5 linked regions of the Coturnix japonica genome follow. The protein of the gene in region 2 interacts with the protein of the main gene of each other region in a pairwise test. Links are inferred from orthologs where the notes say so. Each region holds a gene or a part of one and is shown on either strand. Other genes may lie near its edges.

Region 1 (6,117 bases), on a different chromosome or scaffold from region 2:
GACACACATAGAGCATCTCCGCTACAAAGACATCAGCTGGGAAGCAGCACAGCCCCCCCCCCGGTAAACAACTTGATGATATTGACACGATTTTGGTGATGAAGCAAAATTGGGTAAATGCGGAACATAAAAGGGACCAGCCCCAGGCTCTGACCTGTCCTGGGCAATGGAACGGGCTGAGCCAGCCCCCCCATAACCCCCCCAGGACCGGGCTGAGAGCAGCATCCTCCTCTAACCCCCACCTTGTTGGTTGTTTTTTAAGCGTCTGTTAGCCCATTTGTCCCTACGGCTGCATGCAAGATACGGGGGGGAGGAAAAAAATGCGGTCTTTAAAAGATACAGTGAGGAACTTAATTATCGTGGCGATGATGCGCAGATCCGCGGACAAGAAAAACAACAACTACGTGACACTACAGCTTAACAGAAAGGAAAAAAAAACACCCTGAGAAGTCGTTCGTTTCCCCCCGCCCCCCCAAAATTCCCAGCAACCAACTGCCCAACGACCACCCCTCGGCCAGCAGCAGCCCCATCCCGCAGCACCGAGACTCGCATCCTCCCCATCTCCCCCCGACACGGAGCAGGGCGAAGCAGCCGAGCCCGGCTCGGGGCCGCCCCCAACCCCCGCCCTGCTTTTGCTGCAGTTGCTTTGCTGCAAAACCCCCTTCTTGGGGCTCGTTCCGGTTGCCCTGAATGAGCTTATTTGACAGCTTAAAAACAAATGATATCGAGGGCTCGCAAATCTGCCCCTCCGCCCTCGGATCCAGCCTCTCTCTCGCTCCCTTTTCCCTGTGTCCCCTCTGCATTTGAATCCTTCCACTGCCTACACTGTGAGCCAATGCCAAGAGCCAAGGCAACCAGCGCTGTTACATGAAAGAGTTGCTTTATGTCTGCTTAAACTGCAGTGTCCTATTCAAATAGACCTTATTGTTCAAAGGCACGGATCCAAATCGAAAAGGATCACAGAACAGGGTACCACACTTGACAGCTCTATACATCGCTTCTCCCTTACACAGCCATCCACCTCGGCCCCCAACCCCCAGGCTGTAGCCGGAGATGCAACTGGGTTGCTGCACACAGCAGAGCACAGCCGAGCCAAGGTCTGGAGCCCCGCACCGGGAGCAAGCAGCCAGCATAATCGAGTCATTGAGGAGACACAGTCCCACTTTATTCCTGGGCAATAACGCCATACCTATTGCAAATGAAGGGCTCCCAACTAAGCGTGGCCCCACACCTAGCAACGAAAGCTTACTCTCTCTTTAAGAATAAAAAGTATTTATTTGCTAAATGCAGTGTGATGAACGTAGAATCCATCACCATAGCCAACATCTATCACTGCAACTCATCTCTCCTCCCTGCCCAAACAGTGAACTTTGAGAACCCGAGAGCTTGGCAAGGGCACATAGAACAAATGCCAATACCAGGCACAAACCCCAACCCATGTCCCTTGGACTCTCCTTTCTCTCTTCCCCCCAATGAAGATCACAAACACAACCCTTGGTGATGAATGAGGAACCACAGAACCATTCACACTTAGGGAATTATGCCAGGAATTGAGAGAGTTTCACCACTAGTCATCCAGCATAGGAATGCAAAACATCTTACTAACTACCACATTTTACTCTTTCTTAACCATATCATCACTATTGGTAGGGAGAAAATAACATTTATCTGGGCAGAGGCATGAGTGAGCAGAGCCATGCGCTCTTTGGAGCTTCATCACCTGCGCATTAAATGGAAGAGGCAAAGCTCCAGTACAGAAAGAAGGGGGCAGGACAGCTGAATGCTGACCCTGGAAAGACAGGGATCTAGTTTATGAGAGGGGAAGCTCCCAGCTGTGCCAAGGACAAGCAGATATTTCAGTTATCAACTGCCAGGACCTGGCGTTCCGTGGTTGCCACGGCTCTTCTTTCCGTTTGCCATGTAAACAAAACACCACTCAAGAAGATAGCCTGGATGCATAGAGGCTGAAGGATGCTCACCAGCATAAATGGGTTTGCAGCCCCAGCAGTGAAATCAGAGGGGCCGTTCCCACTGGGGCCATACCCACGGCACATCTGGATCCACGACAACACGCCCCAAGACGGGCTGGACAAGGCCTGCCATGAGATCTGGAAACGGATGCAGAGCCCCCCCGAGGAGCTTCAGCCCATCATCTGCATGGACCCACAGGGACCCCCATGGAGCAAGAACGGTGCCCACAGCGGGTGAGTGACCACCAGCACTGCAGGACAAGGGGCTTGACTCCAACAGAGCCCTCATAACCCCTAGAAACAGAGAGCTGGAGCACAGGGGTGCTGTGTTGGCTTTGGGCAGCCTCTTAATGGGACAGAGTATCCCCATTTGTCCCAATATAACCAGTCTTTTTGGGAGAGCTTGTCCCATGAAAGCCAGCTACTTGAAAATCTGAAGCACCACAAGCAGCTGCTGCTTTTGCTTCCCCACAACATTTAAAGCAAAACAACTACACACACATCAAAATATTTACAGGAAGAAGTGAAAGCAGCATTCAAAAGGAACAAAATCGAAAATTAAAGTGTTATAAGGAAGCTACTGTAAACAGCTGATCTTTACAAAGAGAAGCTGAATTTAGCACAGAAAAAATTATGCCAAATCATGTTCTGCGGGACAAATGGTGATAAGGGAGGGAAGGATGCTCTTCAGATTAATGGGATAATATTTACTGTATGCTCCTGAAGTAGAAAAAGAGTGAAATTTACATGTCCAGCTATCAATCAGCAAGTTATTAGCTCGTGTCCACTTCTTAAAGCCTAAGTCACACATCTTGCCTGATACAGTGAAAAACAGCTGTCGTATCTTTTAAGACTAACATCACAGATTGAGAAAGCTGATAATTCGATGCTTTTAGCTGAAGACGTGGAGGATCAGAAGGGGAAATGCCCTATGCTGTGTCACTGTGAAACCCAGGGAGTACATCTTGGAGCCCTGACTCCTTTCCTTTCCCTTCCATATCCATAACAATAACAGTAATAACTGGCCTAGAATAAATGCACAAAGTGAAACCAAACAACCCAAGAATAACCAGTGAAGCCAATGGACTTGCACTGGCCTACAGCAGCAGGTCAACTTATGCTGCTGAAACATCTTGACAATTAGCACAAGCTCAGCCACGTAACTTGGTCATGCCAGCTGCTTGGAAGTCCAAGCAAAGAGATAAGGTATAAACCACTGTGAACTATTAAACGACATAAGCAAAGCCACCATTAGAAATATATAGGTTCAGTTTTTAGCAATTAATCTAATGCAGTGAGAGCAGCCCACCCTGCAGCCCACCCTCACGCCACTGTAATGGGGTTGAGGAAGCAGATAAGAACGATTTGGGACAACCAGCAAGGACCTGTAACAAACTCAACACCTCCAACTAAGATGAAATTAAACAGCCAGCAAAGCGCAGTGGCTAAAGCACCTTCCTCAGGGTCAGAGAAATGATTCATTGTTCTCCTGCTGATCTTTGAGTTACTTTGGGCAGCTGCTCTGACCCTTTCTGCCAGCAGCATTTCCCTGCATTCAGCAAACAGGCTCTTCAGCAAAGAAGTGCCCTCAGCATACACTCACACAGTGCAGTTCATTGCTCACCAGCTATTCAAAGACACCCCCCTGAGTCAATGAACCTTCCAAAAATACCAAACCTGAAGCAATGAAACCAAATCGCTGTACAGAATTCAAGGGAACTTCCTTAAAATCCCTACAGGTGAGGTCAGGTGTCCACCTCCAGCCTCGGAGGTGGCTGCAACCACCAATGGAGAGAGGAATCCCAGTGAAAGATGGGATAAAGCATTGTAGAAAATAAGCTTTCTTTGGAAATGACAGCAATTTTCTATTTTTATGCCCATAGTATAGGTTTGTTGAGGATTTTAAGGTATCTGTTCTTTAAAAATAGGGAGATAAAGCAGCATCCTGCCAATTATGGTGATCCTATGATTAGAGATAATTAGCTACATTTAACTATCCAGATTTCACTAATATTAGCAATCCATTTATGTACTATATATGTATCTGTACAGTGCATGCACAGAGCATCACTTCCCCTCAAGCTGAGGAGAGTAAATGGATGATACGTTAAGTTATTGAACATACCTGGCTGTGAAAGAGCAACGTGGAATTTAAAGGAGGATTTTGAGTAGGGAACCACTACAAACACTGAGTTGTGCCTTAGAGACACAGCATTGTTCAGCCCTGGCAGCCACCCCACTGTAAGTCCTAGAGGACTTCATGGCTTCCAGTCTGAAACGCCATCACCCAACTTCAGTTATTCCCAAATAGGTGTGTTAAGTTCAGATTTTGTTTTAATTTTCCCATTTTATGTGGTTCTTTGGAGAAGAACAGTGTCCTGGAGGTAGGTTTCATTCCGGTTGAGAAGGAATACTCGAGGCTTAAACGGAGCATAAATGAAACAGAAATGCAAGGCATAGAAGCAGTCAAGAAAATGAGTTCAATCTAATGTCAAGCTCTCAACAGAATCCCTATATTTCACATTCTTACAGGGACTGGTTGCTAGATGAAACAGAGGGACTTGAGAGCATATACAGAGCAGTGATTGGAAACAGAGAAAGAGAGATGAAATTAAGAGCTCTCTGCGATGCTCAGCTTTCTGCTAAATCCACCATCACCAACCTCCTGCGTTCAACAAGCTCTCCCAGGATCTCCAAGGGGTTGGGGGACAACAGCACAACAGGTGCTGGTAGCACAGAGGGCAACAAGCTGGGGATGCCATTGCTGCTGAAGCACACAGATATTGCCAAAGGTCCAGACAGGCAACTCATGGCTGAGGAAAGCAAGACAATGAAAGAGTTCTTCCAGAATGGCACTGTCAGTGCTGCAAAGAATAGCACAGCTGTGCCAGCTCTGATGGCAGAAAGTCAAACTGCAGGACAGAAGCAGCAGCTCCCAACACTTGCCAAGATTTGCTCCAGACCTGACTCCAATGCAGCCACAAAGGCACTGCAGAATCCAGGTATGGATCAGGACACAGTTTCTTCTGTGCTAATTTCCTGGTCTCAGATAGTTTTGTTCTTACAGAGCTCAAAACAAGAATCTTTTGCCCCATTCCAGTCATTCTTACAGCTCAGGAGATTAACTTCATTCCAGGTCCTGTGGGTTGGGGTTTAATGGCCTTACATGTGAATCTGATCTGCTCATTTCTAAGCATGGGTCTCCAGAAATACAGCCTGCAAAAGCATCTTAAACACTTTGCTCACAGGGAGTGCATCCCCTTAGCTGCAAGTGCTTCATGGTTTAATGAAGGGAATGCTTAATTATCTTCACCCTTGTTTTGTTTTACAGTAACTACTGCAGCACTGGATAAAAAAATAGTTATATACAATGCCAGCACTTCCAATCCACACTTTCCCGTTACTACAACCACCACAAACTTAAACCAGCCAATGTGGCCGAGTCTGAGCTTCCCTCCACTTCCTCTATATCCAAACCAGCCAAACTACCCACCCTTTCAGGTAAGATTGAATAAACCCACATTTTAGAACATTTCCAGGCCCATACTGACAAGCTCAGGGCAGCAACTACCTCTGCTATGAGAACTGCTTTCTGATTTGTAGGGTAGAGCCTAAAAGAAACCAGGCTGCTGTCCTACAATGACTGATCACACTGGTTCGCCATCAGTGTTAACATCCAATGTAATGCAGTCCTCTGAGATGTTAGTGATCAAAGGATGATGTTCTATTGACATATACTGAATGCTGACCTCTCTTGGCATTCATTAGTTTCCATGTTTATGTTGCATTTACAAATATTTATCCTGTATTACAAATATTTTGAGCTAATAATTCATTAAGGATATTTCACTCGGTGGCTCTGTTTGCACAACAGGATGCTGCTTGCTTTCTTTGCCTGGCGAAACAGGACCTCAAATCAAAGTGAAAAAGCCATCTAAGGTTATTAAGATGGCAAATGCTTAAGTCAAAAGGAATGAAAGAATGGGAATTGTACATACCTATGGTTTACAGCCCCAGAATTTCCCCTGAAGCCCACGGTTCAACAGAGACCTACTGAGCACAGGACAAGTGCAGTCCTTCCACCCCCAGCATTCAGCCAGGATTTGGGCTTCTCTGCCTGGTCTTAGGGAAATAAAGGGAAGACTTC
Region 2 (6,219 bases):
AACAATTTCTGAAAGAGAATAGCTGTCTTCTTTTCTTTTACTTTCCTTATTTTAAGTCATTTTTTAGATTTATATGATATGATACATTTCAGAAGTGTGTAATCTGGTTTCTGTCTGGGCAGCTACTATTTTTGTCAAAACCAAACAGTAGTTGAATACTGTGATTAACTGAAATCTCAGAACTGTGTATACTGCTTATATACCTTCCTGATAGTTTAGTGGAAAGTCACTTGTTAAACTTGATCAGTGTTTTGGCTTCTGAACTGAATAATATCTTAGTAAACATGTGTCTCTATTTTACTAGGCAGCTACCACTTGATTTCTTTCTAACCACTGTAAAAAGCCTGTGTCTGCATCTACTCACATTCATTTATTTTAACTCTCAGAGGTCATACACTTAACCACTCAATTCCCTTATCACAGTTTCTATTGGATTATTTATTGGGTTTATATTGGGTTTCCCTATTTTTAATTTTTCTCAAACCACATATGAGATAGAAAATTTTAAACAAATGTTTTGGTACTGATTGGTCATATGAAGTTGATGTGTTTTGACAGCTTTTAAATGTGTATGACCAGTATCAGACACTGTATGTGAGGAAATTTAAATGGGAAGTATTTAGTCTTCATTTTCCCCCTGGAGTTTTTTTTTAGTGACTTTTCAGCCTTGTAAGAATTGAGAAATTACCTGCAATAAACCTTGGGCTTAGTACCTTCCACGACTTGCAAGGATACTTCTTTCCATGAAATCATTAGGCCTAATTTCCAATTCCAAGCTCAGACAGTATACGAATAAAGCATATTCCTAGCAAATGATTGAATGTAATAATTTCTAAACCCACATGAGCAGAACAAAAAATGGTATAACTAAATTCTTTTTTTCCAGCTGCAGGTGAGCTTGTTATCAAAATTTCTTCTTATAGCAAAGTCCTGCTATGAACAAAGAAATTTTGCTACTGCAATGCAAATCCTAGCAGGCTTGGAGAATCTTATTGTACGACAGTTGCCAGTAAGTTTGGGACTCTCTGTTGTAACTATTTTGCCTAAAATAAGCTTGTTCAAATATGGACATTAATATGAGAAACAAAAATGTGTTCTCTTTTATTATAAGGCCTGGAAAATTCTACCTGCAAAAGTAGCTGAAATAATAGAAGAACTCAAGGCTGTTGAGGTATAGTATGTGGTCTTTAAATAAAATATTTCTTTGGGAGTGAGGGAGACTCAAGTTCTTTTTAAAGGAGTAATGAAAGCCAAAATTAGTGTTTTGAATTACAAAGGAGATTTTAAATTATTGTCAGACTGTTGTTTCTTGGTCTGGGTTTACATTTTCACCTCAGTTTTTCTCAAAAATGTATCCCATGTGACTAAGAATCAAGAAAGTCATTTCAAAGCAAACTGCGAAATTAGATATATTTTCTTGAAGAATTCAAGAAATGGGAGTTTTCTGAATGTAATATATTCTGAAAAATCCTGAAATGCAATTTTAGCTGTGAACTAGAACTTATGAAAAATATGATATGTAGTGCTCAGCACCTGAAGCGAAGAACTCCTTATAAAGACTAGCCTTAAATGTAATACGTTACTTATCTGTGTGCATTTTCACAATAGGTGTTTCTAAAAAGTGACAGTTTGTGTTTGATGGAAGGAGAAAGATTCAAAACACTTCCAACAATTCCATCTGCCCATGTTTTAGCTATGCATGTCCAACAACTTGAAACTGGAGGATTCACAATGACAAATGGAGCTCACAAATGGACTAAACTTAGGTAATTATTTAGCTGTATGAAAGATAGAATGCTATCTAATGAGATAATGAGAGCTAATGCATTTCCCATCTAGCAAATTAAGTCTAGCTAATTCAGTCATTTTTACATTAAAGTGGACAAAAACTGTAGAGGTAAATGCTCAGTGCTTTTTTATTTCCTTGAAACTTTTTTCTTCTGTCAATAGCAACATAAACTAATCTTTTTAAACATATTTTCTTTCAAGAAATATTGCGAAAGTTGTGAGCCAAGTTCACGCATTTCAAGAGAATCCTTACACATTTACACCGGATTACAAGCTGCAGTCTTACCTCAGACAAAGAATAACTCGTTTTAAGGATGCAGACATTTCTGCTTTGGCCGCTGACAACTGTGCCAACTTCCATCATATACCAGCAGAAAAACATTCTCGGAAAATCCAGGACACGCTGCGCAGAATGAAGGCAACATTTCAGTAATTATTTACATTTCATCTGTTCTATTCCAAGTATAGAGTATAATACCGGATTAAATTGACTTTACTTCCTGAACCAATTCCCAAACAAATACTTAAGTGACTTAAAATATTGTCTCAGTTTGAAATGGGTATATTACTTAACGTGGAATAGTAAAAAAAAGAAATGCTGACTAATGAAGTATGATTCCTTGGCAAGTGGATAAAGGTGAAAAGTAAAGAGACTAATTTTGTCACTGTCCTTTTGCATAAAATAATAATTAGCCAACAGGCAAAATATCTGAAAAGTACTGTGGTAGCAACTTATACTTGCAGCTTCTGTTGCAAAATTGTCCTAGGATTATTTGGACTATGTTAATTTAGTGTTGAATATATTTTTATATAAACATAGTACATTTGTATCCTATCATGATGTGCATATAATTCAGGGACGTCTCTACTATCTGTTGACTGTTGGTGGTTTTTGCTTTTATGTTGAGTATTATAAAACCATGCATGATGGTTTATAATTGTCTATCTTTTCATTTGAGCATACAATGGAAGGAGAGGAAATACCATGTTGTAAAATTTTTTTTCTTTTCATCTTACTGTCACTGAACTAGCCTGTTTCCACATGAAAGTACGATCTGAATCTAAATAATTACCACTTTCTTGCTTTGCTGCTGCCTCCATGGTCTTGTGAAGAAAGTAAACATGAGTTGATCTTTTTCTGTGTCTGGTACAAAAATCAATCACTTTGCCAATTGTGTATGTATGTATGTGGTGGGCACATCTGGTTATGTCTTTTGCTCCTGAGGTTGCTCTTGTAAATTGCAGTGCTCCAGCAGCATTAAATAGGAGATAACTATTAACTTTTGATATGCATCTTGTAAAACTTTGGTGCTAACCTATTCATAGAGCTTATGCTTACAGATACCTAAACAGCAATGGGAAGTGATGCTTTAGCTAGAAAGTTTGTTGAGCTACCCAGGTTCATGCAAGGTCAAGATCTTAAACCCACAAGTTAATTAAGGTGACAATTCTACCAGAGGAAACAATAGTAGTATTGGAAGAGAAGTGGGAAAGGGCAAGAAACAGATAGAAGGATCTCTGTCCTGTAACTGATTTGCTGGAAATGTGTTTAACAAAGAAGGAAAAGAAGGAAAGTAAAATTTTGGAAAAAGCAGATGTGAATTAATTGCCTTGGCATGTTTTAATGATGGAGAAAGATGGGAATATGCACATCTGTAATATTTTGCAGATTGTACTATTGTATTTGACAGAAATGCATGTGTACATGGTAAACTGTAGTTTTTTCCAATGTTTAAGAGAAAAGATTCTCCTTTTCTGATCTCAATGATGGCAATATATACCATCACAGGCCTTCTCATCTTTCTCAACTGAACACAAGGTATGTCTGTTCTTTCCAGTAAATACTTCCATTATTTTTTTATACTAATATGGTAGCTCTAGACTGATACTTGTATTCCTACTGGTTTAGATGCTGGAAAACTCAGCCTTCAACTGGATTTTCTTGAGTTTGTTCTGCTTTTAAGATGATTTCTTTTGTTACTTATCATATGTACGTTTAACATGTCGTTAGTGTTCCTGCTCACGCTTGAGAATGAAAAATATGTTTCTATTTTAATAAATTTTAAAAATATTTCTCTAAAAATTGCCAAATGTGAAAACATTTAATCATTACCTCCTATATTTAAATAATAGAGTGATTTAAGATTGTCACAATGACTTCATCTTCAGAAATAAGTTCACCATTAAAAAAATTAATATTTACTTAAAGCCACGCCTTGCCTTTGAAAGACAGAACAATTTGAAGTAGCATAAGCTTTACTACTGCAAAGAACTCCACAAACTTGCTCGTGTTACCTTAATAAATATATTTTATATAGTTGCCAGTCAGGCTATTGAAATTGCTTTTGTGGATTTACTTAGCGTTTATATTTTGCACCCACCTTAATTAGGTCTTACATGTCTCACCATTTTTATCAAGATCTAAAGCAACTACTACACCTAGAAAATATTGGTTTTATTCTGTGACAATAACTGGTGCTATACAAGAACTTAGAAGTCATTTTGTATCTTCTGCATAATGCTTCAGTGTGTCAGGCTTATTGTTGTTATAAATGCATAGTATGGAGGTATGGTACTACTTTGGGATGTTTTCATCAAACAAATATTGAAGTTTTTGTATTTAGACATCACTGTACAACCACAAGTGTAAGTATCTACTGGGGTAGGTGCGGAAAATCACCTTTGCAAGGAAACCAGACTGCTTTTGTCATCTTATTTACATCTTAATTACATAACACGGATTTCTCAATAAAGTTATGTCTAGCATCTAATGGTACTGCTTATTTATAACTAACGTGCAGCAGGATTTGAGCTAAACTTTTCCATCTCTGAGTGGAATGTCCCTTTAAAAGAAAGCACAGATCATAACATGTGAAAACAGCATTTGGTTTTCAGACAAATGACCTGTAGAGTTTCTTCAGTGAAATATTCTCCATGGGAGCCTTTCCAGTTCCTTGCGTTCATTCCTCTGCATTGGTGCTCTTTCTGTGTACCTTTGCAGGTCTCTTTTCCCAGGGTCCCTGGGTTTTTCAGGACTCCTGCAAGAGTGCTGGGAACTGTGTCCTAGTCTCACAGTAGCTGCATTGGAAAACAGGTTTCCAGGATCCACAGTTCCAACTTTCAGAAGCCTGTCAGGAAACGTGGATGGATTCTCTTGATTCCCAGGAAGTATTCTATAGAAGGCCAGACCAAGTAACTGGAAAATATTTCATGAATCACCATTGATTCATGATTCCGGCAAGTTTCTTTCCTTGAAAAATCTTCAACCAATTCTATACTTTGCTTTTATGGTTTTTTCTATTCTTTCTCAGTTGGATTTGTTTCATAAGCGTTACTCAGACACATAACTTCTCAGTGAGTGATTTGCAGATGATTAGAACGTTAAGAAATCTGTTTCTAAATAACAAATGAATAAACTACAATTTGAAGAGAAGGAAGCTAACAGTCCTTCAGGGATAGGCATGTGGGTTGTTGTTTCAGTCCTCAATACAGCAGTGATAGAGAGATTGTAGATAAATGATTTTCCTTTCTCATAGATGCTTAAATGCAATCCAGTATGTATTCATCCTTACAATGCAAAAACTTACTGCATTCTGTTTAAAGTTTTAAGTTTCTGTTTAAAGAAAAAAAGGCAAGAAGACCTGAGATGTACAATGAGAGAGCCCTATATGACAGAAGGTAATTATTTTGCTCTATTTGGCACTTGTGGACATCAGCAGGAATAGCTTACCATCTAAACACTGTATTTAAGAAACATACATGCTAAACAAAAAAGACTAGAGGATAGCAATAAGAATAGTATTTTTTTTTTAAATGCAGAGTAAAAGAATTAGACCTTGAAAAAGCTATGTTGAGTAGGATTCAGTGTGTGTGAAATGTTGCTGTAAAAAGTTTTTTGTAGCAAAGGACAGAACTAGTTTTCTCTATGCTCTGTGAAGTTTAAGGCAAGGAGTATTGATTTTGAAGCAGTGTTGATTCTGTTTCAGTTTTTACATTGGGAAGTGTCTTGTTGAGCTCTGGAATAGGGTACCCATCTGTAGGATCCCTTTTCCTGTGGACTTATGAGAACAGCTCAGATCAAATTGTAATGAGTGCACACACACACACACATCCTCTTGTTCCTGTGCCTGAGAGTGCAGAGGGGCTCAGCATGATCTTCAGTCCTTTCTGTGTTTTCTGTCAAGTAGATTGGACCAAAATTCAAATATTTACTTGCAGTGGGGCAATGTTTTTTGTCTAATTATTACTTTTGTCACACCCTAGTCACAAACTTTCAAGGTTTTTATTACTATTTTTTCACAGAATAGAATAGACATGGGCAGAATGTACATTACTTAAACTCGTGCAGGCGACGTTATGGAGGAATACAACATTTTCATTACATAGATATGTTAATGCAGTGGGAAAGTGGCTTAATTCTAAAAGCAGGAG
Region 3 (6,129 bases), on a different chromosome or scaffold from region 2:
GTAGTTCATTTTTAAAATGAGAAACAGGCATCATTATTATTTATAATTATTAATATATATAATTATTATTTGTGATTCTTGACTTTTGCCATTGAAAGCAGTGTTTTGGGAGGCAACAACTGCATAAAATTAATTATTCTTTCAGTGGATGAAGTGGGTGGGTGTGTACACTGTGGTTGGAACTCCAGATTAATATTTACACCTTAAATACTCATCTTAAGGTTGGAGTGAAGTGTAGGAGCACGCGGTGAATGTTAGAGTGATGCAATGCATTTTATGGGGAAGCACCTCAGCAATCCTTTTTAACTTGCTGCCTTTGGAAATGCCAACAAATGTGCCTTCACACCCCACTCTTCCAGCCCAGGGATAGAAGAGAAATGCCTTCAATTGTGATGATGGGGGCAGAGAGCACTGCAGTCCACAAGGATTGTTGGGATCTCTTGCTTTGATTGAGCATTTATCTACACCTATGAGATGTGGTACTATTCCTGGGCATGCCTAAGATTAAATATCTCTGCCTTGACTACATTAAAGATCAGAGGTCTGTTTTGGTAGGTGCCATCAGAGGACACATGTCTTGCTTGAGAAAGCCAATAATTTCCTAAAGTCATAAAAAAGAAGGAAAAAAAGCCCCGGCTGTGATGAAGGTGATGACAGGGCAAGTCATAATTCTCTTTTGGCAGACATTTGCATTCACGCTTGCCTGGAAGTTACGTGTCTGAGAGTTGCTGAGGGTAAGTACATTGGGTAGGTGTGATTTCCTCATGGCAATTTTGGGTCAAGCAGGCACCCTAACCTGGGGCACCCTTAGCTGTGCCTGGGTGCAAAGGGCAGCAGAGTGCATCCCCAGCTGCTCAGATGGGGGGCCTTTGCATGCCTGGCTTCAGGGATCTTTGCTAGCACCATGGGTGATACTTTTGGTTCTAAGCCCATAATGGTGAGACTTGGAAAGGAAATGTGCTATGGGTACAGAAGCAGGGAGACCTTGATGTCACTGTCAAGATGTGAGGGTGAAAGTAGCTTTTTCTTAACCCTTTCATTACCACATGGGACTTTTTGACTTGCAATTAAAGGAACCTCTGAGTTAAGCTGAACAACAGCTGAGCACAACAGAGTCCGTGCTGCATGCTGCTTTCTCAGAGCAATGTGTGCTGTAGCTGCTGAGTAACGTAACAGGGAAACCTCATTTCCATGCCAAGCTCTGCCTGCCCCAAGCAGAGCACAGCCCTTCCCTGGCTGTGGTTGTGGCTGCAGCATTATTCCCTCCTTTCTGCTTTTCCTGCCTCGTTCCCAGCTCTCTGCTCCTTGCTGCTCGGAGGCACACAGCCTCAGCAGCTCTGTGTGAGCTCACCAGCACTCTCCTTCACAGCATCCCTGGGCTTTTTGCTCAGCCATCTGCGTTAAGGAATAGAAATTAACAGCGTTTGCAGACAGACCTCATGCAGTCATCTCTTACAGACAGTTCCCGGTTCCTGTTTGGATGGGATTGCTGATGAGCATTTGCATATTTGATGCTCTCTGTACTGACTCGTCTGGTTAAGCTCTTTCCATGCAAGTTTCTCATGGGGTCCCCTCCCAAATCCAACTGACCACCCTCCCCCACTTCAGCAGGAGTTCTGCTAAAAGTAGGCAGGGGTCTGGAAACAGTGGAAGAATGCAGGTCATGAGATTGACAGGTGTTTTGTGCTGAGAGTTGTAATGGGGATGTGGTGGGATTGGAGCAGGTTGGGCTGGCGTGGATCCTCTTCCCATTCTCCTAAACCCCAGAAAGGAGCAGACTGGAAGCAACTAAGGATAAGGAGGGCAATCAGGGTATGGCTCAGTCCCATAGGCTGTCCAGCAGTTTTGTTCACCTGTTATTGTCCATAACTAAGGGATAACAAAGTGTCTGAAGCAGCTGTTATCAGATGGCTCAGGGCTGGCACCTGGATCCTAACAGGCAGGAGAAACCATCCGTGCTGTCACAGATACATGGCACAGGGGTGCTGGTGAGATGTTGGGGCTGTGAAAAATGCTGTCTCAGATCCACAGAACCACAGGGGTCAGGAGGAACTTCTGTACTTCCCCAGTCCAACCCCACTACGGCAGTTCTCTACAGCAGCTGCATAGGAATGCATCCAGGTGGGTTTGGATCTCTCCAAAGAAGGAGAGTCCCCCCACCATGTCTGTGCAGCTGTGCTGGGGCTCTGCTGCCTCACAGTAAAGTTCTTCCTCATGTTCAGATGGAACTTTGTCCCACCTTGTGCCCATTGCCCCTTATTCTGTCACTGAGCATGGCTGAAAAGCTCCCAGCCCCATCCCATCCCCCTGACCCCTATTAGATACTGAACAGGGCTGTTAAGATCCACTCTCAGCCTTCTGTTCCCCATTAGCACAACCCCGTGGCTGTCACCCTGTCCCCATCGGGAGATGCTCCAGGTCCCACCACCTCCGCATCTCTGCGCTGAGAGCTGCTCCAGGTCCCTCATTCACCCCCTGGGCGCCTCCTTCTGCCCCCGGCCGGGCGGGGGGATGCTGCCAGGCTCGGCCTCGCCCCTCTATTAGGGGGAATGCGGTAACGCGGTGGCTGCAGGGGCCGCAGAGCTGCGCGCGGAGCTGCGCGCGGAGTCGGGTGCGCGCATCGCTCCGCTGCCGCTGGAGGATGAGAACGGCGCTGCGGGCGGCCGAGCCGGGCTGCAGGTAGGGAGGAGGAGGCGGCCGGGTTGTATGGTGTGTGTGTACGGGGGTCCCGGCTCACTAAGGGGGGCCGTGGAGCGGGGGAGAGCTTGTGTGTAAAGTTTGGGCCGCTCGGAGGGAGGGAGGGATGGAAGGAGGGATGGAAGGAGGGATGGAAGGAGGGATGGAAGGAGGGATGGAAGGAGGGATGGAAGGAGGGATGGAAGGAGGGAGGCGGGGGCTGCGGGCTGCTCCGTTACGGAGGGGCGGCGGAGCTGCGTGGCCGCGGGGAAAGCCCCGCGTGGGGGGCGCGGAGCCGTTGGCAGCGCTGCAGCTGCCGGGGGAACTTGGGGCTGGTGAGCACCGGGCGGCTCGTGCCGTGTGTGTGTGTCTGTGTGTCTGTCTCGGTTGCTGTCCCCCGTCGGCTCCGCGTTCCTCGCGGTGCTGCCCTTCAGCCCTTCGCTGTGCCCCGCTGCTAACGGAGGTGCCCGCTTGGTCAGGTTGGTGAGCAATTAGGCGTAACCCCTTCGGGATGTGACTCCGCGGGGTCTGAGTCGCGGTGCTGTGAATTCCGGCTTCGGGCTTAGCGCCGGGATGGGATGGGTTGATGAGGGCTGCAGGGTGCAGCTGTGGGCACGGCTGGCTGCGGGGAACAGCAGCGCTGCTGTGCCGTCCTGCTTTCACATACGGTCCCTCCGCCGCTGCTCCAGTGTCGGTGCCCGGGGTGGGGGCTGTCTGTGTGCTCCGAGTGCTGCCCGGAGCCGTTAGCATCGCTCTCGTGTGATGACGCCGTTGTTGGATGAGCGCGGCTTGAAGCCGACGTGCCGCTCGTCAGAGCCCACGAGTTGTTTCTGAGCTGAATTTTGTTCTCGTGAGCGGAGAGGCATTTGCACTGCAGTGTTACAATACAGCCATATTAAAAAGGTCCTTGGAGCAAATAACCCTCCAGTGCTGCAGCGACGCGGCTTCAGTACTTCTATGAGCAATAACCGTGCTGGATTTCCGACCTGAACTGACTGTGTTCTTTTAATTGTGGTATTAAACGTTCATGGGAGCGGTAAGTGTGAGCTGAAACCTGGAAAGCAAACCCCCAACCCACCCGAAGCTTTATTCGGAATCAATTCATTTTTATTTATTTATTTATTTATTTGCAACAGGTCCTTCTGGCTTTTGCTTTCTGCTGTTAATTAATTGGCAAGAAGGTCTTTTCCTTGCATGTGTTTCCCTCGCTAAGCAGAGTGATGTTCTGGTGCTGAGCAGCAGCTCACGGTGCCGTGGTTGTCTTCCTTGGGTGGTTCAGTGTCTGTGGTGCTACTGGGGATGGAGGCAAGGAGGACCGGGGATAAGGAAGGAGGAGATGGCTGAGATGGGTGGCATTTGCAAATCAGGCAGTGAAGGTTTCTTATGACTTGGTGATGGTGTCTGTGGGACCTGAAATAAGCAGCTGAAATAACACCCTGCTTCGTGGTTGAAGGTCAGCGTCGGGTCCATCGCTCAAGCAGAGCTCTAAGCACCATTGCCATGGGTGGGAGAATGAGGGTGCAGGGGGGGGGGACCTGCAGGCTGATGTTTCCTTGACTGACAGACACTTAGGCAGCACCACGTGCCACTGTGATAATTTGGCCTCTCTAATGACTTCCTCCAGCAAGCTGATAGGGAATTAAAATGTTTGCAGATGGGTTTTGGAAGGGTTCATCAGGATGGGGAGGGAAATCCTTCTATTCTTAGATTTCTCTAATCCCAAGCTTCTGTTCCTGTAGTCATGCTAATTTTTTATTGATTGTTGTGGCAGAGGATGCTGTGTTGTAGAGAGCAGTAATTCCAATGTATCTGCTCCAGGCAGAATTGTCCTGGGAGGAAGTGGGAAGGAAGGAGAAGCTAAATAGAGACATGGTACTGCAGTCCCTATTAGAGATGCTCATAAAGCTAAGGTCATGGATGAACAGCTAGATGCTTTTACAATTACGTTTCAATGAATGGACTTAGCTGGAATCCTGTGTTTTCTGTAGAAGTGCCAGTAATTACTTACCTTGAGTGTCCTCCAGCTCAAGACCATTTCTCCATTGGAAGAAACTGTGGGAAGATGTTTGATTGAGGGTGGGCATTGTTTCCTGTATGGATGTCAGCAAAAGAGAATGAGCTGGAGTTGAGACTGGTACCCAGAATGACAGCACAAGAGGAACAAGAAGTTGGTCACTCTTGATGATCAACTTTCTCCTTAGCAGCACCATATGAAGGTCAGGAATGTAGTCTGTATTTCAGTCACCACCTGATTCTTACTTAATATTCTTATGTGAATCCATCTGCATGGATCAGATGAGCCTAAACCGTGCTTGCTTCTCTGTTGGCAACTCTTAATTTCACCAATTTCATGCTTTAGTAATATGAGTTTTTGCTGTTGAACTGCAGGAGTCTACATTGCTCCCTTCCACGCTATTTAGAGATGTAAGCAACAAACCCAACCCAGCACTGGCAGGTGTGGATGCTTTCAAAGCAACCTCTATTAAGTGAGTTCAGTTTTAATGGTGGTGGGGGGGAATGGAGGAGGGCTACAAAAATTGTAGGGAAAATGTGACATAATGATGTTTTCTATGCTCCTTCTTCTTCTGATTGCATTCTGCTTGCAATCACTCTCAGACTTTAAATGTCCTTCTGCTATTGGAGCACTCGAGAGTGAAGTGGGTAGCAAGTTTGTGGGTTGATGCTTTGCCAGGCACGCAAAGCAGGCTGGAGATGAAAACAAGCTATTCTCAACTGCTGATTATAGTTCTTGGAACAGGGAATGAAAGGTATTCTTCTGAGTAACCTGGAGAGCAAATGAAAATGACCCCTTAAACAGTGTCTATAAAACACCATTTTGGTTGAAATTGTTCTATTACAAGAAATACAGAGGATGAGAAACCTGAGCAATCTTGACAATCGTTTTGGGATTGTTCTACAAGAAGATCAAGGGCTTGCCAGATTTTGCTCTTATGCACATAAATCACCTTTCCTCCTCCTGTTCCATAAAATGCATTGGGTCAGGACTTTGCAGTTTGCCATCACATTATTTCAAGTACCTAACGTATAGTACCCATCACAAATAATAGGAGATCCATGTTTCACAGCCCTTAAATTTCTTCATTGCTATGCCAAGATAAAGAACTTCCAAATTTCTCATGCAAGAACATGCGCATGCACTCCTCTTTTATATCTGCAGATTGATGCGCTCAGCAGGAGCTTCTTTGATTCTTACAACACTTAAACGTGACTGACTCAATGAAAAACTGCTGTGTGAATATTTATTTACTCTAGTTTTAATGTAGCAGAGATCTATTAAGATGGAGCAACTACTTCTGGGTCCTTAAGCTGTGGATACAGCGCGGCAAATGACTGCGCTCAATTGTGGGACACTGGCCATGGTACCTGTACAATAACTGTGCCGTATGATAAGGAAAACAAATCCTACTGACGTCACTGGGATTTCTGATTTGA
Region 4 (6,470 bases), on a different chromosome or scaffold from region 2:
GAGCTTCATTCCGTAAAGTACAAACAAAGCCCATTTAAAAACACCCGGACCGTAAACCTTGTGCGGCTCTTCGCTTCTCTGTGCCCTAAAAGAGAGGGGGAGCGGAAGGGGGCAACGAATGGGCGCCACAGTAGGGAAGTAATTAGGAATTAGTTCGTCGTACTCAGCGATACCGTTTGTGCGGACCATAAAACAACCCGCTGCCGTGCTTTTCTCGTGGCTCGTGGCTCGAAGCCTCTTCCGAGGGCACCGCCTCGGCTGCTCCTCTGCTTTCTGAAGGCGATCGATGTACTGAAGAGTAACAAACCCCGAGCCCCCGTTATCGGGCAGCTCATTGCCCACGCTCGTTGTTTTCAATTACCAACGGGGGGACGGGGGGGGAAAGAATAAGGACTCCCTGTGCTCGATGTTGCTGCGGGACCCTCGGTGCCGTACCCCATAGCAGTGCAGAAGTGTTGCAGGCTGCGCTCAGCCCCGCGAGCACCACATCTGTGCAGCACTCCGCCGCTGCCGCCACCCCCGTTTCTCCCCTTTGCAAACATTTCCATCCACAAACAAATATTTTCAGGCAACGGGGAGGAGCGGGAGAGAATTATTACTTTCTGCATCTCGTGGCCTGGCCCTGAGACCCCTTGCTCCCACTGCTCGATTCCAGAGAGCGGTTTCCTGGATTTAATGGAGGTTGAGGCCGAAGGGCCGGCGGAGGGGCTGCCCCCCGGGCTCGGTCAGGGTGGGAGCGGTGCTGGGCGCTGCCCTCGCTCCCGGCTCTCCTAGTGCGGTCTCTGCCCCTCGGTCAGGGACTGGGAAGGAGTTGGGGCTGCTGGAAACGCTCGTTGCGCGAAACCACGCTGAAACCCAGGAAAATCTATGTCGGTGTTCATGCATCGCCCCCCAAATTGAGCTTCTTTTCCAACACCATTTCCTCTCTCTAAAACGCTATAAATAATTATGTTTTCTTGGGTTCTCTTCCTAAAATCTCCCTTCCAGATCCTTTAGAAGCCCTCTTCGCTCTCCGTGTTCTCTCGTAAATAAGGGAGCAGGTTCTGGTTGGGCTCACAGCCCCTCTCCGTCGGGCTTGAGGCCGGCGGTGTCCTGTGCGGCCCTAACTCCGTCCCGGCCCCGGTGCCGGCGCTGCGCCGCGGCCCCCTGCGAACGCTCCCTCGGAGCGCATTGCTCTCCCCCCGCTTCCCCCCTCTCCCCCGGGATCCGGAACGCGACCTCCCTCCCCTCGGGCTGGGGCACCCCCGGCCGGGCGCGACCCGTCAGAGGCGATGCCCCAGAGGGGAGGGGAGGGGAAAGGAGCGGCGGGGGGTGCGGGGCGGGCGGCGGGGCCGCACAAAACCCGTTCCTCGGCCTAGAGAGCGGCACTCCGTTTTGTCGGCGTTTCCCGAGGAAATCGTTCCTTTCTCGCCTTTCGGCCCGAATCCCCCTTCCCCCACTCGAACCCAGGAGGACCCCGCTTTAGGTCGGGCAGAGATGTCCGAGGTGTTTCTCGTACCCCCAATCGCGGCACCGCTGCAGTGTCGCCAGACGTCCCCAACCCTCGTCCCCACTGCGCTCCGCAGCCTCCGATCACAAAAGTCGATCCCCGCGATCCACTGCCCTAAATGGCTCGGTCTACACTAAGCCAAGCTCGTCCTATAGAAATAATTCTATTGTTTATTGTTTATCCAGAGCCTCCCTTCGGTCCTTGGACGAGATGTAACTATCTCTACTCCTTCCCCAGTCGGGGTTTCTCTCGATCGCACGGATCCCCGCTCTCTGATCATAGAGCTGCCCTCTGCTCTCGTAGTTCAGCCCCGATTTCCCTTCTCTGCAAGCTCGAAGGGTTTGGGACAGAGCAGGCAGAGGGGCCGATGCCATCTCTACCGCTGCCCGAGGCTGTGCCTGGAGGGTTCGTTCGCTCAATGGTTAAAATGACAGAAATAAAGAAATAAAAATCAAACTAAAATACGGTAAAATAGAATTAAATTAAATAACAAAAAAATGGAATCGAATATTAAAATAAAATCGAATAATGAAATGAAATGAAATGAAATGAAATGAAATGAAATGAAATGAAATGAAATGAAATGAAATGAAATAAAATAAAATAAAATAACAACTCCATTCACCATTGCAAGTTTCACTTCAAAACAGCAAGAAGTCCCCACCACCAACCCCACTGCCGACCCCACGGCACACGGTGTGGATGACGATTAAGCAGCACCCCCAGATTTTTAAGGCCTCTTTCCAACACCTCACATTGCTTATCTTTTTAATTTTCGGGGGCTTCGTTCCCGACCCCGTAGGCAGCGCGGACACCTCCCCGCACTCAGAGCGAGGCGCTCCGTTAAGGGTTAACTCCCCGCCCGGTGCTCGGGGGCCGCGGACGGCCAAAATTCCTCGTCCCGAAACCCGGCTCTCCTTCCTTTCCCATTGGTCCACAGCTTTTGGGTCTCTCCCGATCCCTCTTTCCCATTGGCCAACGATATATATATTTTCACTAGGTGGTTTCCCCCCCCCCTCTCCCTCCCCCCCCGTTTTGACAGGCGCAAGCAGCCTGCCTAACTCTCGGAGAGAGAGAGAAAAAAAAACGACAACAAAACCAACAACAACAACAACAACAAAAAACCGACTCCCAGAAGTTTGGATCAATCAGAGACAGACAGAGAGAAAGGGGAGAAGGCAAAAGAAAAAAAAAAAAAAAAAAAAAAAAAAAAAAAAAGAAAGAAGAAAAAGATGAAACCCGGCCCGCTGCCCCTGTGAGCAGAGCACAGCCTCCAGCTCTGCCCCGCGGAGCACCGCAGCCCCATGTAGGACGGGGCTGTGCCGCTGGTGCTGGAGCCTCGGGGCCGCGTCCGCCCAGGGCCGGGGCCGGGGGGAAGATGAGCGAGAGGCGGAGGTCTGCGGTGGCCCTCAGCTCCCGAGCTCACGCATTCTCGGTCGAAGCCTTGATTGGGACGAATAAAAAGAGGAAACTGCGGGACTGGGAAGACAAGGGGCTGGATTTGTCCATGGAAAGCCTCAGCCCCAATGGCCAGCTGGGCGACGGCGAGGACCCGACGCAATGCCTGGACCTCAACCCCGGTCAGTGCCGCTCCGTTCTCCGGCAGCTGCTGCGGGAAACTCCCGGAGTTGGGGAGGGGGGGGGGTGGCGGATTGGGGGGGAGGAGAAGGGAAGGCGTTGTGCGGAGATTTCTCGGATTTGTGTTATTTTTCTTCTTAGTATTTTCAGTTTACAGTGACTTTTCCGTAGCTCTTTTCTACTTTCCCTCCCGATCCTATATCTCTCTCGGACTCCGAGCACCTCTCGCTTCCTTCTTCCCCCTCTGCCCCCAACTCTGTGCTCTGTGTTGACCGCGGTGGGACTCGCGCTCCGCATCGCCCGGGTCCCCCACCACCGAGGGAGGTTGGGGTGCACAAACGCCGCGTCACCGCTGAGTCTGCCCCGTGGGTACCGAGCGGGGCGCCGGGCAAGGGAAGAGAGCCCCGGAGCAGCGCATTGCCCGGCTCGGGACCCTCAGGGGCTGGGAGGGAGTGGAGGGCGGCGGGATGGGGGAAACGGGGCTGCGTGTTGCTTAGAGACAGAGAACACGGGGCTCCGCTCCCGTATCTTAAAATCGACTATTGTTACCATCGATATTACCGTGTTTATTTAGTACAGTTTTTATTATACGCTATTATGATTGTTACGATGATACACTACTTTTATAATACGCTACCATCATTATACGTACTATTTTATTCGAAAGGCAGACGGTAGCCCGGAGGGCTCCCCCGGCTCCAGCGAAGCCCTGGGGCTCCTCTTGTCCCTCTCTCACTCTGCCACATCTCTCCGGTCCTCCAACGCGGCCGCGGAGCCGCGGGTGGGTGCGCGCCGCCTCTGAGCGCCGCCGAACGGGACGGGGCCACGTCGCTGCCCCCCGCGGGGTTCGGGCTCGGAGCGAGGTCGCTCTCGGTAATTACTCTTCCTTCAGTATTGGGGTGCTGGGGGTGGGGGGGAAGGCCAAAGGATGTCTGCTGCCACCACGTAGGAGAAAGGATAGGAGCTTCCTCCCCCGCTCCCGGGCCGCTCAGTCACACTTAAATCCCTTTGTAACTTATATATACGCTTACTGCAATATCCATATATTACACGGTATATATTGCGATTTATATATTGTACTGTACATAGTGAGAAATGCGCGCATTTGGTGATTTTCCTGCATCAACCGCCGAAAAGCCGCCGTGAAGAACGTAGAGAAGCTTAAGGAAACAGTGCGACGGATCACCAAACGATTAAGTGAAAGAAATCCGTAGTAAAAACCCAGCCGGGTGCTAACGGAGGGAGCCGATGCTCGGCGCTGCGCAGTCCCGGCCACGGCGCTCCCATTGCGCGGTGCTACCGGTGCCGTCCCGGAGAGACGGAGTGAAGCGGCCGCCCAGAGACAACGAACAGCGAGAACAGCTGAAAATAGAAAGGAAAAAAAATAAGGAAATAAAGAAAAGAGAAGAAAAAAAGAATAAAAAGGAGAGAAATCACGGCTTTAGGGTATTCCTCTTTCAAATTAACAAATACGGGACGGAAGAGACAAAGATCTGCTTTGCCAAGGCAGAGAAGATGCGCGCATTGGTCTTTCTTAGAACAGTTTCTCACTAATTCCCGGTGTCCGTACAATGTATTTGTGTCGGTCTAGAAGTTTGATTTGCCTTTTATCCTCCACGAATTCGAACGAACAAAACCAAAACACCCCAACACTTCTGCTCACCGGGCTGGAGACTGATAGAAAACTGGCTGCAAAACGCCCGAGGCCCCGGCGAGCCGTTGTGGTGTTTTTCATAAAGCGAAGGAAATCAGGAACAGTTCGGGAAACCATTCCGAGGAGCCTGATGGACTTTAAACGAAGTCCCGGCTGCAATTTGCGCGCTCACTTCATTAAAGCCAAATCCCGAGCAGCGCACTTCTGCTGCCTGGGTGGAAATTGGTTCGCGGCCGCGTAATGGCCCCCACATTCCGGCTTTATAAGGCCCCATTAAGAACAAACTTTACACCTCGAGCGTTTAAACGTCGCCAAATCTCTGGCGATATACCAAAAATTGGAGGAGGGAGTTTTTATAGCGTCCCAAACCTTCCCGATTCCATATCGCTGCTTTGAATGGAGTAGGAAATAGCGCGGCTATAGCGCTCGTGCCGGAGGCGGATCGGTGCGGGTCCCGAACACCGCATTGAAAATCGCGCACCGATCCGGCTCAGCAGAGAGCGAACGGGCCCCGATTTATCGAACTTCTCGCAAACATTCACTTCGAGCCCGGGGGGTTTCGCCGAGCCGCTTTTCGTCTGCCCCGGGGAACGCAGTGCCGCCCGAGGGAGGCTGAGGAAGGTTCCGTCCTCTTCCTCTCCGCCCCTCTCTTGGGATGCCTCATCTCTCGGCTACCGAGTCTGTCGTGGATTTTCCCCCGGTCTCGGCGTGCGTGTACCGTGAGATAAACGAGATCGTTCCTCCGTGCCGCAGCGTCGGGGACCGTGTTTTGCCTGGGGAGCCTCGTGAGCCTCCCACGGCCTTCGCGTAGCGCCGGGAGGAGCCGCGCGTAGAGCGATGCGGGGCCGTGGGCGGCGGCGGCTCTTTTAGCTCTGCCCCAGCCCCACGCGGGGCACTGCGGGGCCGAGAGCCCCCGCCGCGTGTCGCGGGGCCCTGTCGATGCTGTGTCTCTGATTAACTCCCGGCCGAGGGCGGATTTCGGCCCGGCGAACAGCCGACAGCCGGCACTGGGGAAAGTTCCGATGGGAGTTCGGGGTTTCCTCCTCCTAAACGCGGTCGCTCCACACGGGTGGACCCGCAGGAGCTCCAGGGACAGAGCTAAAGAGTGAGGTTGGAAATGCTCAGTTCCGTGTGTTTCGGTGCTCGTGGCGTTCACAGACATAGAAAGGCGGCAGCGCGTTCCTAAGCGAATTCTGCCGCTACAGCCTTCGGGATCGCGCACCCTCATCTCTCGTAAAATGATAATAATGATAATAATAATAATAACAGTAATGAAAATGAACACGTCCGTTACAATGAACCCAACAAACCAACCAGCCCCTCAAAACCCCACATTTTAGCAAGTGTTATTTTTGTCCATCCGGGAAGACGTAGTTACTTTCCAGTGCGCTGCCCGAAGCCGTATTGATCAATGCGAGAGCAGAACTCGGCACGCCCAGGTACGCGCACCCAGCCTGGGGGCCTCATAGCAGAGGGACCGGGGCTCCCCGCCCGCTGCAAGGGCGAACGAGTTATCAGAGCATGAATTAATTCGATTAATTTTAGTTATCTTTGTTTCGACGTACACGCCTGTTTCTGGCTGCTCAGCCTGGTGCATCTCCGTTTGTGGCCGTGCCCACGGGGTAACTCGGCTTTTCGCTCTGCCTGTTGTTGGAGCAATGCGGGCGTGGGGCTCCGGAGGGCTTTGTGGTCTCTGCCTGTGTTGGGCAGAAGAGGATCGCAGAGGCCCTGGCCCTGATGCTGAGCAGC
Region 5 (6,431 bases), on a different chromosome or scaffold from region 2:
TAGCAGGTGGACACGGACCTGCTGGGACAACAAAATGACCCCCAGAACCGAATTCAGCTTAACTTTCCCCCATATACTGTTCAGATTGTTTTTGCTTCACTGAATCATTTCCTCAGGGCTTAATCCTCCTCCCTGTACAACCTTCCCTTGTGCTGATGGATAAAATAACATGACAGAGGTTTATTTTAATATATCCTTAGTTAATGCCGCTCATGTGGCAGGAGGGGAGGAAGGCAAATCCAATTGCAAAGTGCCGTGTTCCCATTCTCCAAATAGAAGGGGACGGCTCCCTGCCCCTCAGCCACAGGCACCAGCTGTGTGCCCTCCCATGCCCACCCACTGGGCTGACCTGGGCTCAGCGCTGCCCCTTCCTGCACCCACAGGTCCTTCAGAGTTCATGATGGGCAAACTGGGAAGGGGAGTGAAATAGAAGCTACGCTGTGGGACCTGACATCCGAGAACGCAAGGGGAAGCAGTCTCAGCAGCGCCGTGCTAAGCCGCTGTGTCCCTGCCCATTTTTGCTTAGACTTTAGGAGTGTCATTTCAAACCATTGTTTGCTGGAAATAGTCGTTAATCTGCTGAGGAGCAATGGCTCAATGATTCAGATGAAGCGGCCGTGCTTAGAGAAATGGAAGGTCGGTGCAGCAGTACCCAGCACGGAGCCGCTCCGAGCCGCCCTTAGCTCAGCTGTAAAGCGGCTCCAGAGCAAACTCCCGCTCCTCCCTGTGGCCGAGAGCGGCGGTGCGCAGGGATGCAGCTCTTCCAGCAAGAAAACAGCGCGATTTGCGCTGTGCACCGTCAGCTTCTCGCTCGCCTTTCTCCCGCAGCACAACGGAATGAGCTGAGCAGCGCGCTCCCAGCCCTGCCCTGTGGCTGTGTCTGATACCCGTGGGCACGGATTCAGTCTCGAGGTTTCTATCCCGTAATTCCGTAACGAGATAAAAACAACTTTTCCATCCACATTGTGAGTGGAGATTTTCCAGAGTCAGCAAACAGGGCTTTGTTTCACATTACGTGCAAAGAAAGGTTTTCTTGCTCACGGTTCTCAAAACGGAGACTGAATGGCCCTCCGCCCTCCTCTGTTAGACCTGACAGTGCCAAATTTATCAGCACGGTGTTACATAAGCTCGGGACATTCAGGTGCAGGCACAGAGGATGAACGGCACCGGTGCGTAACGGAGCACAGAGGATCTCTGTCTTCCCAGCGTCGGCTGTGCGTCCTTTCCTTTGGTTTGGTTTCGTTTTGTTTTCAATTTGAAGTGAATCTGGGCAAAACCGAGCGCTGCTGCAGCGCAGTGAAATGCCTCATGGCAGCCCCAGCACGGCCAGCAATGCCAGGCTTTGGCATCTACCTGTGTGCCTCAATGCTTTAATGGGCGCTATCCAGGATCTTGGAAAGCAAACTTGGATAGCAAACGTTCCGCACAAGACTTGCTTCAAAACGGAGTTAGTTCATCTGAACTTTATGCCAAGGGATTCTCCACTCCATTTTCTGATGATGGAAACATATGACATCCCACCCCGCAATTTGTTAAGGACAATAAGCTGACAAAGCCCAGGGAGGGGTTCTGAGTTGGTCTCGGATGAATGAAAGCAGCCCCTGGAAACACAGCCCTGCCGCCTTCATCTGACCTAAACCCACAAAATGTTCCTGATTATGTCGTCTCAATTGTGCTTTATTTTTGTTTTATTTCTCCTTGTAGGAAATTAAAAAGGGGCCGCTTGATCCCACTCCAAGTTCTTGCAATGTGTTGCAATGCTGAGGAAATCAAAGATTACTTGAAATACTTCTTAATAATCTGTCATGTCAGCAGAGATAAAGGTTCACGGCCCGTGAGCTCAGCTGGCTTCTATCAGTGCTGGGAAGGGAGGGACCCCACAAACCCCCTTCCAATTACCAACATGCTTAAGGAGTGGTCCATTTCTCTGGGTAGAGAAGTACAGATGGGTATAGACAAGTATAAATGAGGATCAATGTGCTGAGCCCGCTCTCAGCAAAGTAATGAGCATCTTCAGTAACGAAAATCCTCAGTAACAGGCAACCTCAGTGACAAGCATCCTCAGTATTGTGCATCCCCAGTAATGTGCATCCTCAGTATTGTGCATCCTCAGCAATGTGCATCCTCAGTATTGTGCATCCTCAGTATTGTACATCCTCAATATTGTGCATCCTCATGTGGGCTGTGAGGCCAGCAGCAGCTTGTGGCACTGACACATATTGGATACATCAGCAGAGGGCTGACATTCAGTGCTCCCACCGCCCCATCCCCACCTGCACCTCACCAACTCAACGCATTCCCTCCTGAAGGCTCACCTGCCTCAGTTGATATTTTACCAACACTGTCCACAGATTGAACTTCCTCTATTTTTTTCCAAGCCCCTGGCTGCAGCCCCCATCTGCTTTGGGATGTGGGTGCCACTGGAGCACAACAGCACTGCAGGGATACTGCAGTGAGAGCACAGCATAGAAACGGGACTGGGATGTGTGAGTGGGATCAGGATGCTGGAGCAGGACTGGTGTGCATGAATGGAATTGGGACACTGAGGGGGACTGGGAGACACAAGTGAGATTGTGATGCTGGAGTGGGAACAGGATTCTGGGATACAAGAGCAGAACCTGGGTGCAGGAGCGGGATTGGGATGCTGGAGTGGGACTGGATTCTGGAGTGTACCTGCAGAACGGATGTGGGGATGCAGGAGTCGTGTGGTGGAGCGGGACCTTAGGCTTCCCTGCCCCACCGAGGCTCCGTTTCCGAGCCGCTGCCGCCGCCGGACGTGTAAAGACGGAGCTCTGGCAGCACCCGGAGTCGGTGCGGAGAAAAAACCCGACGGAGGCAAAACCGGCACTCAGCGCCGACACACGGCGCGGGGACACCGAGGTCCGCCGGGAGCGGCCCCGTCGGGACAGCAGGAGCCCGGAGCCGGCATCGGGGGAAGCCAAAGCGTGGGGGTTTCTCCCCACTTTCCCTCTGCTCCCCCCCCCCCCCAACATCCTCACCTCCCCTTTCTTTCCCGTCCTTCGTTCTTTTTTCATTTCTTTCCTTTTTTTTGTGCTGGTTCTGGTTAAACGTTATTTGCACTTTTGTTGGGAAAGTGGCCCCTGGTGTGCAATTATGTCAAATTTCTTTGAGTTTTACAATTTAATGGAGAACAGTAACTCTTTTATTGATCCTAGACGGGGCCGGCTCCTCTTCCCCCATCTTCCCCTCGCCTCTCCCTTTCCCCTCCCACCCCTCCTCCCCCCGTCCCAGTCCTACCAAATGTCACTCAATGTTTCTTACGCTCCCATCAGTTTCCAAAACAAACAGTGAGAGCCGCAGCCTCCTCTCGCCTCACTTGGAGCACCTCGCCGTGCCCGCTGCCCCCCGACGGCCGCCGACTGCGGGCCCCCACCGCGCCCTCATGGAGCCGCCGCCCGGAGCTTCGCCTCCCGCCTGAGCCCAGCGGCCGCCCGGGGGGAGCCCGGCCCGGGCTGTGGGGGGCGGGGGGGGATGGCGCTCAGCTCCCGGGCTCACGCCTTCTCGGTGGAAGCTCTCGTGGGCCGCTCGGCCAAGAGAAAGGGACCCGACGGCCGCGACGAGGAGAGCGGGGCGGGCTGCAGGCAGAGCCGCAGAGCCGCAGAGCCCGGTTGGTAGCGGCGGGGCAGAGCGGGGGGAGTCCCGTTGAGGTGTCCCGGCAGCCGCCCCAGCACTCCCTCCGCTTTCTCTTCCCCGCAGAAAAGCGGCCCAAGGCCGGCGCCGAGAGCCGGGAGGTGGGGGACGAGGTGCAGGTGGAGCTGCAGGGCGCCGAGCTCTGGAAGAGGTTCCACGAGATCGGCACCGAGATGATCATCACCAAGGCCGGCAGGTAGCAGCCCCGGCCCCCCGGCCTCGTTCCTGCCTTCAGCCTTTCCCGCTCAGTTTTCCCTTTTGCATCTCACCCATTCCTTTTTTTGTTTCTTTTCTCAGCTCTCCCTCACTGTTTTCATCTTCTTCTTCTTTTATTTACTTACTTTTGCTACGTTTGTGGGACTTTTTGTTGTTGTAATTTCATTTTTTTTTATTATTATTATTATTATTATTATTATTATTATTATTATTATTATTTTCTCCAGTATCTGTTTAACCTTTCAATCCATTTTCACCTCTTTAAAACAACCCCCGCTATGGGCACTCCCTAACTGCTGCCCCGTGCCCCATGCAGGCGGATGTTCCCATCGGTCAGGGTGAAGGTGAAGGGGTTGGAGCCACTGCAGCAGTATTACATCGCTATCGACGTTGTGCCAGTGGACTCCAAACGGTACAGGTATGGTGAGTTCCAATGGTGGATGCGGAGATGGACCCTTCTGCATGGCCAACAGCTTCACTGCGGTGTGGGAATGGAGGGATGGATGGGGGATGGATGGATGAATAGATGGAAGGATGGATGGAAGGGTGGATGGATGGATGGATGACACACTCATGGGTGGAGGGATGGAGGTACGAGTGGACCGATGGGTGGGTGGTGGATGGATGGATGGACATACCAATGTATGGATGGATGTAGGAATGGAATGATGGATGGATGGATGTAGGAATGGGCCGAGGGACAGACATACAGATGGATGGATGGAAATACTGGAACGATGTATGGATATATGGTTGGACACAGGAGTGGATGGGGAGATGGACTGGCGCATCAGGAGTACAGTGTGTTGATGGTGTCCCACTTGGTGCAGGTACGTCTACCACAGCTCACAGTGGATGGTGGCTGGGAACACGGACCACTCCTGCATCACACCACGGCTCTACATCCACCCTGACTCGCCCTGCTCGGGGGAAACATGGATGAGGCAAATCATCAGCTTCGACCGGGTGAAGCTCACCAACAACGAGATGGATGACAAGGGTCACGTAGGTGTGGGGCAGCCATGCAGTGGGGCTACAGTGGGACTCCGGGCAGCAGCTCAGCCTGGCCCTCTCTGCCCACACAGATCATCCTGCAGTCCATGCACAAATACAAGCCCCGTGTCCATGTTATCGCCCAGGACTCCCGCTTCGACCTGGCGCAGATTCAGTCTCTGCCGGCTGAGGGGGTGCACACCTTCTCCTTCCAGGAGACCGAGTTCACCACGGTGACAGCCTACCAGAACCAGCAGGTACCCACGGGGCTGCGGCCACCCAGCCTCCCGCTTCCCAGTGGCCCCATTGAGATGTTACTTCCACCCACAGATCACCAAGCTGAAGATCGATAGGAACCCCTTCGCCAAAGGCTTTCGGGACCCTGGCAGGAACAGGTAATGGCTCAGCCACCCCCCATTACAGCCTGAGGCCTGGCCCTGGCTCTCAGCCCCATATCACCTGCAGGGGAGTGCTGGATGGGCTCCTGGAGCCCTTCCCATGGCGGCCACCACTCGCTCTGGACCTGAAGACCTTCAGCGCGGACAGCCAGGGTGAGTCTGGGTATGCAGGGCCAGGTTGGAGCTGTGGGCAGGAGGACGAGGCTGTAGGGTTGAGTGGGGTAATGGGTGTGGGGTTGAGGCTGTGAAAGCGTGAGTGTATGGGATTCTGTGGTTTTATATGATTTTTTGCCACAAGTCCCATTGAATTCAGTGTGAACGCTCTGGGGGAAGCAGTGATGGACATGGCAGAAGCCGGAGGAAGATTCAGACTAACAGGAAAAAAGATATATATATATCTTATATATATAAGTATGCATATATGTAAATATATGCAAATATGAAAGAGGTTATTTTGGAGTAGGGTTGTTGTGCCCTTTGGCCTGCGGTGCCATTGGTTCCCAAACCATTGGAGGATACTGTTTAGAATAAGAATAGCGAGTCACAGAAAGGAGACTTGGGAGAAATTAAGAGGTCTAACAGATTGTAAAGGCAGACTGGCTTTGTTCCTTTTTTTCCTTTCATTTTTGTTCTTTTTTTCCTGTTTTTCCCTTTTTTCCAATTTTTTAACTTTTTTTTTGCCTATTATTTTTTTAATAGAAAAAAAAAACCAAAAACAAACTGTTTCTAACATAAAAAGCTGCTCTGGAATCAGGCTGGCATGCTGCAGTGTGAGAGCAGGGAGAGGGGCAGCAGTGGGGGCTGAGAGAACATGGGCAATTTGCAGTTATCGGCACACAGACACTGAAACGTTACGACCTGGTTTGGTTTATTTTTTAACTAATTGTCACACGATGCCTATTTTTCCTAAGGGCCAATATTTGAGGTGGTCTTAAAGCTTCCTTCTATACCCAAACCGTTCTATGATTCTGGAAAGATGGAAATAGAATTCTTATCTCTGCTGATAAGAAAAATGTATTTCTGGGAGGGGGGGGGAAGAAATATCAATCTTGGAGCCTGAAAGCCAGGAGAGAAATTAAAAATGATAAGCTAAATATAATAATTGGTCATCAGCTGGGATTTTAAAGCCTGATAGGGACAGCAAAAAGAATTTGCTCGTTGAGTTGCTCTGTT

The links.
Region 1: the proteins of homeobox protein VENTX-like (region 2) and C23H1orf94 interact in binary tests that used the Homo sapiens proteins (3 or more experiments, as listed by UniProt). The two-hybrid records come from large-scale screens. The link is inferred for Coturnix japonica from reciprocal best matches to the Homo sapiens genes VENTX and C1orf94.
Region 3: the proteins of homeobox protein VENTX-like (region 2) and DAB1 interact in binary tests that used the Homo sapiens proteins (3 or more experiments, as listed by UniProt). The two-hybrid records come from large-scale screens. The link is inferred for Coturnix japonica from reciprocal best matches to the Homo sapiens genes VENTX and DAB1.
Region 4: the proteins of homeobox protein VENTX-like (region 2) and TBX15 interact in binary tests that used the Homo sapiens proteins (3 or more experiments, as listed by UniProt). The two-hybrid records come from large-scale screens. The link is inferred for Coturnix japonica from reciprocal best matches to the Homo sapiens genes VENTX and TBX15.
Region 5: the proteins of homeobox protein VENTX-like (region 2) and TBX22 interact in binary tests that used the Homo sapiens proteins (3 or more experiments, as listed by UniProt). The two-hybrid records come from large-scale screens. The link is inferred for Coturnix japonica from reciprocal best matches to the Homo sapiens genes VENTX and TBX22.

What each region holds. Positions count from the first base shown.
Region 1 is NC_029538.1:4,085,130-4,091,246, reverse strand, and holds the start of C23H1orf94 (uncharacterized protein C1orf94 homolog), read left to right. Parts: upstream 1-1,885; 5' UTR 1,886-1,971; coding exon 1,972-2,204; intron 2,205-4,502; coding exon 4,503-4,972; intron 4,973-5,301; coding exon 5,302-5,471; intron 5,472-6,117.
Region 2 is NC_029521.1:18,713,945-18,720,163, reverse strand, and holds the start of homeobox protein VENTX-like, read left to right. Parts: upstream 1-2,224; 5' UTR 2,225-6,219. Other genes in the region: kinase non-catalytic C-lobe domain-containing protein 1, read left to right, coding at 887-1,009, 1,112-1,171, 1,609-1,766, 1,990-2,221. UniProt on the Homo sapiens protein: May be involved in ventralization.
Region 3 is NC_029523.1:23,461,043-23,467,171, reverse strand, and holds the start of DAB1 (disabled homolog 1), read left to right. Parts: upstream 1-2,619; 5' UTR 2,620-2,679; intron 2,680-3,423; exon of another isoform or gene 3,424-3,712; intron 3,713-6,129. UniProt on the Homo sapiens protein: Signaling adapter of the reelin-mediated signaling pathway, which regulates the migration and differentiation of postmitotic neurons during brain development.
Region 4 is NC_029516.1:70,578,848-70,585,317, forward strand, and holds the start of TBX15 (T-box transcription factor TBX15), read left to right. Parts: upstream 1-2,522; 5' UTR 2,523-2,867; coding exon 2,868-3,069; intron 3,070-6,470. UniProt on the Homo sapiens protein: Probable transcriptional regulator involved in the development of the skeleton of the limb, vertebral column and head. Acts by controlling the number of mesenchymal precursor cells and chondrocytes.
Region 5 is NC_029519.1:1,461,909-1,468,339, forward strand, and holds the start of TBX22 (T-box transcription factor TBX22), read left to right. Parts: upstream 1-2,997; 5' UTR 2,998-3,492; coding exon 3,493-3,628; intron 3,629-3,717; coding exon 3,718-3,847; intron 3,848-4,183; coding exon 4,184-4,285; intron 4,286-4,697; coding exon 4,698-4,872; intron 4,873-4,952; coding exon 4,953-5,117; intron 5,118-5,190; coding exon 5,191-5,255; intron 5,256-5,325; coding exon 5,326-5,411; intron 5,412-6,431. UniProt on the Homo sapiens protein: Probable transcriptional regulator involved in developmental processes. This is major determinant crucial to palatogenesis.